Schizosaccharomyces pombe: one gene and its partner. The main gene of each other region encodes a partner of the protein of the gene in region 2 in a complex. Each region holds a gene or a part of one and is shown on either strand. Other genes may lie near its edges. A codon is read from its position in the direction of its gene.

What was found.
Region 1: the proteins of tif225 (region 2) and tif223 are in contact, whole or in part, in a crystal structure (PDB 5B04), measured with the Schizosaccharomyces pombe proteins. Residues at the interface, in NP_594285.1 of Schizosaccharomyces pombe: Glu161 (codon at 2,371), Pro164 (codon at 2,380), Phe165 (codon at 2,383), Arg169 (codon at 2,395), Ser174 (codon at 2,410), Val176 (codon at 2,416), Lys181 (codon at 2,431), Gln190 (codon at 2,458), Asn192 (codon at 2,464), Lys196 (codon at 2,476), His197 (codon at 2,479), Tyr198 (codon at 2,482), Val199 (codon at 2,485), Ser200 (codon at 2,488), Met201 (codon at 2,491), Pro203 (codon at 2,497), Phe206 (codon at 2,506), Glu210 (codon at 2,518), Glu211 (codon at 2,521), Leu212 (codon at 2,524), Glu213 (codon at 2,527), Val214 (codon at 2,530), Arg215 (codon at 2,533), Asn216 (codon at 2,536), Asp217 (codon at 2,539); in NP_594962.2 of Schizosaccharomyces pombe: Leu195 (codon at 657), Glu200 (codon at 642), Gly215 (codon at 597), Ser216 (codon at 594), Asp217 (codon at 591), Phe218 (codon at 588), Thr219 (codon at 585), Phe220 (codon at 582), Arg221 (codon at 579), Met222 (codon at 576), Ser223 (codon at 573), Leu225 (codon at 567), Trp226 (codon at 564), Pro229 (codon at 555), Arg230 (codon at 552), Val231 (codon at 549), Thr232 (codon at 546), Leu233 (codon at 543), Asn234 (codon at 540), Thr235 (codon at 537), Asn236 (codon at 534).

The regions. Positions count from the first base shown.
Region 1 is NC_003424.3:5,365,284-5,369,036, reverse strand, and holds the start of tif223 (translation initiation factor eIF2B gamma subunit tif223), read right to left. Parts: upstream 1,633-3,753; 5' UTR 1,490-1,632; coding exon 1,341-1,489; exon of another isoform or gene 1,272-1,340; intron 1,217-1,271; coding exon 946-1,216; exon of another isoform or gene 823-945; intron 820-822; coding exon 378-819; exon of another isoform or gene 337-377; coding exon 194-336; intron 123-193; coding exon 1-122. Other genes in the region: amidophosphoribosyltransferase Ade4, read left to right, coding at 3,076-3,753. UniProt on the Schizosaccharomyces pombe protein: Acts as a component of the translation initiation factor 2B (eIF2B) complex, which catalyzes the exchange of GDP for GTP on the eukaryotic initiation factor 2 (eIF2) complex gamma subunit.
Region 2 is NC_003424.3:3,669,479-3,673,231, reverse strand, and holds the start of tif225 (translation initiation factor eIF2B epsilon subunit tif225), read left to right. Parts: upstream 1-1,725; 5' UTR 1,726-1,734; coding exon 1,735-1,792; exon of another isoform or gene 1,793-1,836; coding exon 1,837-1,898; exon of another isoform or gene 1,899-1,941; coding exon 1,942-2,066; exon of another isoform or gene 2,067-2,135; coding exon 2,136-3,753. Other genes in the region: V-type ATPase inhibitor and disassembly protein in response to oxidative stress Oxr1, read left to right, coding at 133-699. UniProt on the Schizosaccharomyces pombe protein: Acts as a component of the translation initiation factor 2B (eIF2B) complex, which catalyzes the exchange of GDP for GTP on the eukaryotic initiation factor 2 (eIF2) complex gamma subunit.

The DNA.
Region 1 (3,753 bases), 1.7 Mb from region 2:
TTTTTAATGTTGCTGTTATCCTTAATGGTGGTACCTTCATTCACCATACAATCGGCACCGACCAGTGCTCTTTCGGACACGGTGACATCTACAAGGCGTTGTTCTGGAGTAAGTTTGGCGATCTAGTTTGCTGTTAGAGATATTGGATGAAACTGCTAAAAAGCGAGATGAAGCTCAGCTTTCGAAAACATACGCATTTATTAAGTTCGAAATAGTTAGGTAAATTATTAGCCCTAGAACAAATAATCCCATCTTTGGCAATTAAAGCATTAATTTTAATTTCCTGTGAGGATAATCCCCCATCATAATTATCAATATTGTTAGGAGATGACAAAACTTTAATTGTTAGAAAATAGTTAATTAAAAAAAGCACTTACATCTTTGAATGTTCTCTCGTACAGTAAAGGATTTCTGATATTGACATTTAACAAGATACGGGATGAGATCTCCACGAATGCTAGAAATAGATTCTTTCTCCCGGATCAAATCAATAACCCAGTGTTTAAATACAAATATATGGGCATCCGAAAGGTTTGTATTTAACGTAACCCTTGGGTGTTTCCACAACAAAGACATTCTAAATGTAAAATCACTGCCCACGTCTGCGGAACTTTTGGCATACAATAGTCTGCTCGTCTTCTCTTCAATTCCAATCAGTTGTTTTGCATCAATCTCTTTAGATTGACTTGTAATATGCTCATATTTTAACACTGGACTATATACAGCCAGTGCTGAAGGGTTATCAAGGCGAAACTTATCCAAACCGTATATGGGAGGGAGACCAACTATACTATCACAACTGAGACACACAAAGTCATTCTGGTGGGTATCGGTTAGCATTTTTTGTGACTTTAAGACGAGTAATTAAATTGCAGAATGAGAGAGAAAAGATCAAAAAGTCTAAGAACACATGCATATCTACTTATACATAAAAATAAATCATACCTTTATAAGATGGGATACAGCACGAAGAGCATCGGCAGAGCTTTTAGAATCATCTAAAATAGTCGGTGCTTCCACGTGAATACGCATATGTCCCTCGTAGCCAGATCGTAACCAAGCATTGATATGGGCTTCCGCTTCTTCCATGCAAATAAGAATAGCAGAAGTAAATCCAGCAGCTTCAAGCCAATATAATGGGTAGTGAAGCATCGGTTTATTGCCGATAGGTAATAAAGCCTTGGGAAGTGCATCGCTTCCAGTCAAAGGATATAAACTAAAACATGGTTAGTATTTTCTTATTGTTATTTTATCTTTTTTAAGTGTTGATGAAGATAATATGTGCGAAGTCATCATTATCCAAATCGTTAAGTAGTCAGTACTACACTTGTTTGTTTTACCTATTGCCAAATCCTGCAAAAACAACAGCTTGAAATTCAATCGGAATAGACTGTAATTGAATATTCCCCCGATTTCGTCCACCAGAAATAGGTCCAAGGATTGAAGGGCTACTGGCTAAAGGAAGTGCAGCATGCTCATACAACGACATTGTGAGATGTTGTTCTTCAAGGCGTTGGATGCTTTTACAAAAGGTTTTTACCTAAAAGGATGCTTTGAAGCCAAAATCTTTTATAACCTGATAGAAGACGAATTATTGGGTTTTTTTGCAGTACGCCAATATTTGATGAAGATGGAAAACCTTACTTTCCTAGATCCCTACTAACGAGCCAAAAGTTTACACGTTACACATCACTATCTGAAATAAAAATGTGCTGAATTTATATTTGTGTTTAGAAAAATGTATTCATGAAATATGAACTATTGATGATTTTTTTTTAAAATGATTTACCAACTCAAAATGTGGAGCTGCTTGAAAACTAATTATTGCTTTGCACTTGTAATTTTGTTTAATGTGCAATATTAAAAAAGATGTTTTAATAATCAACGATTTATAAATCGGTACGTTTTCGCGATCCTGGTTTATAATCAATCCGATAGTAAAAAATATCAATCAAGCGCTCAGAAAATGATCCTCTGTACACCAATTAAGGAACAAATATTTGAAGCCGGTTAGTAAACTATTATTTTGAGGAATCAGAAGATTAGAGATACAGTACATTGTGTATTGTTTTCATTAGTTTTTTAAGTTTAAAAACCATTGGACTACTGCAATCGTAACAAGTTGAACTAAAAGTTTTGGATTAGATTACCCATAGCTCTCATCTCGGTGATTAATGTATTGTTGTTAACTACCGAGTAAAGAAGGAAGAAAAACCAGAACATTGAAAGATTTTATAACAAATAAATAGTAATGGGATACCTCCGGTAAAGCTCAATAATAAGTTGATGTGTATGCGGCATTACTGTAACACTGCACCACTCTTAACTTCATCGAATTTTTTTTGATATAAGAAGGTTTTATTTAAAGATATATTTTTAAGCTTAAAAAATTTTTTTTGGCAACAAAAATAGCAAACAATTTAATATCATCTACCCTGTCAGCTAAGTAGCAAGCTATACCTGTTACCTATATTAACGTGCGCATATCCCACCTCTCTTTAAGCTTCTATTTAGCGAATCGTTCATCACAATCTTGAGCAGTCATAGTTTCGACTCATACTTCACTATCATTTAAGGCGGACAATAAATTAATTTATACGGCAGCAAAATTTTGCCTTAACAATATACCCAACTACGGTGTTTGTTCAGCGCGTACCTGAAAATCTTTTTTTTTTTGTTTCGTACGCGTTTTAAAAAGTAAGTTAATATAGATATTGATTTTCCAACGCCGCAGTACTTGCCTATGATGATTACCGTTTATTTAGATGCTAGACTTCTGAATTTCATCTTATGTAGCTACAAGGTTTTCTGAGGTCTGCTTAATTGATTAAAATTTTTTATTTTCTGTGATGGTAACATACAACTCATTTTACGGTCGGTACAAAAAAATTGAAATTATATTCCAAGTATTCTCAAACTTTGATTGCTGTCCGAATAGAACAGTCCGACTCATATTATTTTAATCAAGTTATAGCAATTTGACTGGGTGCTGTTTTTTCTTTTGTACATTTAAACCTATCATTTTATTATCTTTTGTATTCAATTCACAACCGAAGCTCTAACAAGTTTTAGAAAATGTGCGGAATTTTGGCGTTAATGCTTGCTGACCCTCATCAACAGGCATGTCCTGAAATTTATGAGGGTCTTTACAGTTTGCAGCATCGGGGTCAAGATGCCGCCGGTATTGTAACCGCTGGAAACAAAGGTCGTCTTTACCAATGCAAGGGATCCGGCATGGTTGCCGATGTTTTTAGTCAGCATCAACTTCGCCAACTCGTAGGTAGTATGGGTATTGGTCATTTGCGCTATCCTACTGCTGGAAGTTGTGCTCACTCTGAAGCACAACCCTTTTATGTTAACTCTCCTTATGGTCTTGTGTTGGGCCATAATGGTAATTTAATTAATGGACCCGAATTACGACGCTTTTTGGACACTGAGGCCCATCGTCATGTAAACACTGGATCTGATTCTGAGCTTTTGCTTAACATCTTTGCTTACGAGCTTCAACGGTTGGATAAATTTCGTATAAACGAAAATGATATTTTCGAAGCTTTGCGTAATGTATACGATCGCGTTAATGGTGGTTATGCATGTGTTGCTATGATCGCAGGCTTGGGTGTTTTGGGATTCCGTGATCCCAATGGCATTCGTCCTTTAGTGATCGGTGAACGTGATACCCCCGAAGGAAAGGATTACATGCTTGCTAGTGAGAGTGTTGTATTGACTCAATTTGGATACCGTACATTCAGAGAT
Region 2 (3,753 bases):
CAGTGTTTGTTATTGTATTCACAATTATTTATTTGTTTACTTATTACATAAGGCTAGTGGATCACCTTAATCTTTCTAACTACACACACCATAAGAGTACAAAATTTTAGCAAGTATTTTGTATCAATTGAAATGTTTAACTTTACAAGACAGTATAGTGTTAAAGACGGCTTAATAACAGATGAATTGGCCAGTCACATCGTTGAGAACTTGCCAGCAAGATATGCTTCTGCTGAAACTTGGAAACGAATCTATTCGTTGCAACATGACGGCGCATCTCTTCAAACAATGTACTTAGCCTGCGAAAAGGAAAAAGCTCGAAGCGGCCATCCTAAAGGGGCTTGCATTTTAGCTGTGCGCGATACAGACGGCGATGTTTTTGGAGTTTTTATCCCTGATTATTTAATTCCTGCACCTCATTACTTTGGTTCCGAGGAAACCTTCTTGTGGAAATATTTTCCTCCCAAAAAGTATGTACATTACCCTTTCGTAGGAAATTCCAATTTTGTTGCATATTGCACCAAAAGCTTTTTGGCATTTGGTGGGGGTAATGGAAGATACAGCCTTTGGCTTGATGGCTCTCTAGAGTACGCTTACTCTAGTCGTACTCCTGCATTCGAAAACAATCCTTTGAGCTATCGTGGCTGTCCTGACCAACGAATCCAAATCGTGGACATCGAGCTCTGGGTATTGGAGTAATATCAACTAACGAATGAAAAGAAAAAAGAAAATAAAAGATGGACTCGGAAATGTGCATCAGCCCAAGTTTTATATTTATATCAAGATTAATATTTTACCGTGCTTTCTTTATGACTAATTTATTCAACCAAAGACAATTTTATGCTGACTCTATGCATTGATTATTATTCTTAATTCAAGTTAACTCGTTGATTTGCATGTTCAATCAATGAATATCGAGTTTACCAGAAATTCGAGCCGTAGGACTCTTCCCTCCCATTTGTGATGTATAGCTTTCTATCATCAGCTAATTTTTAATACTTCTTCTCAATTCCGGAAGATTACGTTTGTTAATTGATCAAGCATGAATATCCTTGCTATTAATTTCTTTACGCCTTATGCATTGAGTGAACGAATCAAATGAAGAGCATCCCCAATATCTTCTCCCCAATTGTCTATTATTTATTAATTTTCTCTTTTTCTATTCATAACTTTTAATGCTACACTTAGTATATTTATTCACGTGGTTGCTTTTCATCAACAATTCGTATCGTCCCTAATTGACGAATCGATTTCTACCATCCACTTTATATCAGTAATAATAATTATTATGAAGTTTTATTTATTATGTTTCTTTTTGATTACCGTGTAAACACTTGAAACCTGTATTCAAATCTCGATAAACTACCATAAGATTAGTAAAATGTTTGCAACCACTACCCAATTGTAGAAAACAAATTGACAAAATTTACCAACTTAACAGGATAAATCACCGTTTATATCTTCTGTTTATTATGTGGAATTTTTGTGGTTACTTAAATAAAACCACTTTCTTTCGCCAATAAACTATAAAAGAAATGAGCTATGCAAATTTAATATCCTAAATTTAATTACTCTTTGATTATTAACGTCTTTATAAATTCCTTTTTAGTCTCTAGTTGATGAATTGTTTAGAATAATCTTTAAGTTATAAGGCAGTGGAGCACGGCATCCTTAAATGACTGTTTGGGCTTAAATGATATTGAGAAATATGTCTAATCCCTCTACATTGTCGAAATGCCTCCATCCAAAGGGCTGAATGGCAAGCTAGAAAAGCCAAAACACGCTCTGCAAGGTAATGTTTTTGGGATTCAAAAAGTGTTTGTTACTAATTTTTAGCGATTGTTTTGTCGGATTCTTATAATTATCGGTTTCGCCCTCTTACATTAGATAAACCTCGCGTATGCAATTACCAGTGTACACTTTAAGTACTAATATTATTAGTGTCTTCTTCCTTTAGCAAATACCCCTTTAATAGAGTACACTTTTGAGTTTTTGGCATTGGCCGGGGTGCAAGAAGTTTATGTATTTTGCTGTGCCCATGCAGGACAAATTCGAGAATATATAGAGTATGTGCTAAATTGAGGTCTTAAATTCGAATTTCTGATACGATATAACTAACACAATATAACCCACAGAAAGTCAAAGTGGAATCTTCCCTCTTCCCCCTTTAGTGTAAACACGATTGTGTCAAGAGAATCTCTGTCGGTTGGTGATGCTTTAAGAGAGCTCGATTCAAAACAGCTAATTACCTCCGATTTCATACTCGTATCAGGCGATGTGGTATCCAATGTGCCTCTAAACGAAGTTTTGAAAGAACATCGGAAGCGCCGTGAAGATGATAAAAATGCTATTATGACAATGGTTGTACGAGAAGCAAGTCCATTTCATCGTACACGCGCCCGTACAGAGAGTTCTGTTTTCGTGATAGATAAAAAGACCAGCCAATGCGTGCATTATCAAGCTAACGAAAGGGGAAAACATTATGTTTCTATGGATCCCGAAATCTTTAATGAGCATGAAGAGTTGGAGGTTCGAAATGATTTGATTGACTGTCAAATTGACATTTGCTCCAATGATGTACCTGCCCTTTTTACTGAAAACTTTGATTACCAAGACATTCGAAAAGACTTCGTATATGGTGTTTTAACCTCTGATCTTTTAGGAAAAAAGATTCATTGCCATGTTGCTAAAGAAAATTATGCAGCTCGTGTTCGTAGTCTTCAAACTTATGATGCTATTAGCAAAGATGTTCTTTCTCGATGGGTCTATCCTTTTGTTCCCGATAGCAATCTTCTTAACCAAACTTTTAGTTATCAAAGACATCAGATTTATAAGGAAGAAGACGTTGTTCTTGCTCGTTCTTGCATTATTAAGGCACGAACTTTGATCGGTGCCTATACCAAAGTCGGTGATGCGTCTGTGGTTGCGAATACTATCATTGGTAGGAATTGTACCATAGGCAGCAATTGTAGTATAGACAGTGCTTTCCTTTGGGAAGATGTTGTCATTGGAGATAATTGTCGAATTGGCAAAGCCATTCTTGCCAATTCTGTAAAAATTGGAAATAATTGTTCAATTGAAGATGGTGCTATAGTAGCTGCAGGCGTTGTTATTGGGGATAATACAATAATTGAAAAAAATAAGCGTCTTACAACTTTCGAGAGTCACTCTCAAGGAACTTTGAACGATCCATCTTTGGTAGGGATTGGTGGACGTGGTCAAGAATATCATGCCGAAGAGGATTCTGATGATGAGGGAGAGTTTATGGAGGCTTCAGGGCTTATTGAAAGTACAAATGAGTTACATTTATCTGATTCAGAATCTTCAGAGACAAGTTCGTCTTCTGAAGAAGATATGGAATTTATTCCCTTTTCAGCTAGACGCGATTCTGCCAATACAATTAACTCAGAGGATTTCGATGAAGGAGATTTCAACAAGGAAGCTCAGCAGAGTCTTGAACGTGCCTTTGAAGAAAACCACCAAATTGATATTGCTGCTCTTGAACTCAATACCCTCCGAATGGCCATGAATGCCAACTATCACGAGGTGCGATCCGCAATTGTTCTTGCTCTTTTAAGGCGTATCATGCACTTAGATGTATCCCCCAAGGAGGCACTAGCAAAAGTAATGACACGTTGGGGTCCATTGCTTGCAAAACTGACATTTAGCCATGAAGAGCAAGTTGACAACGTATTAACGCTGCAGAAGTACTGTGTCCGTTTGAGTATGACTCGGCACTTTTTACAACTTTTG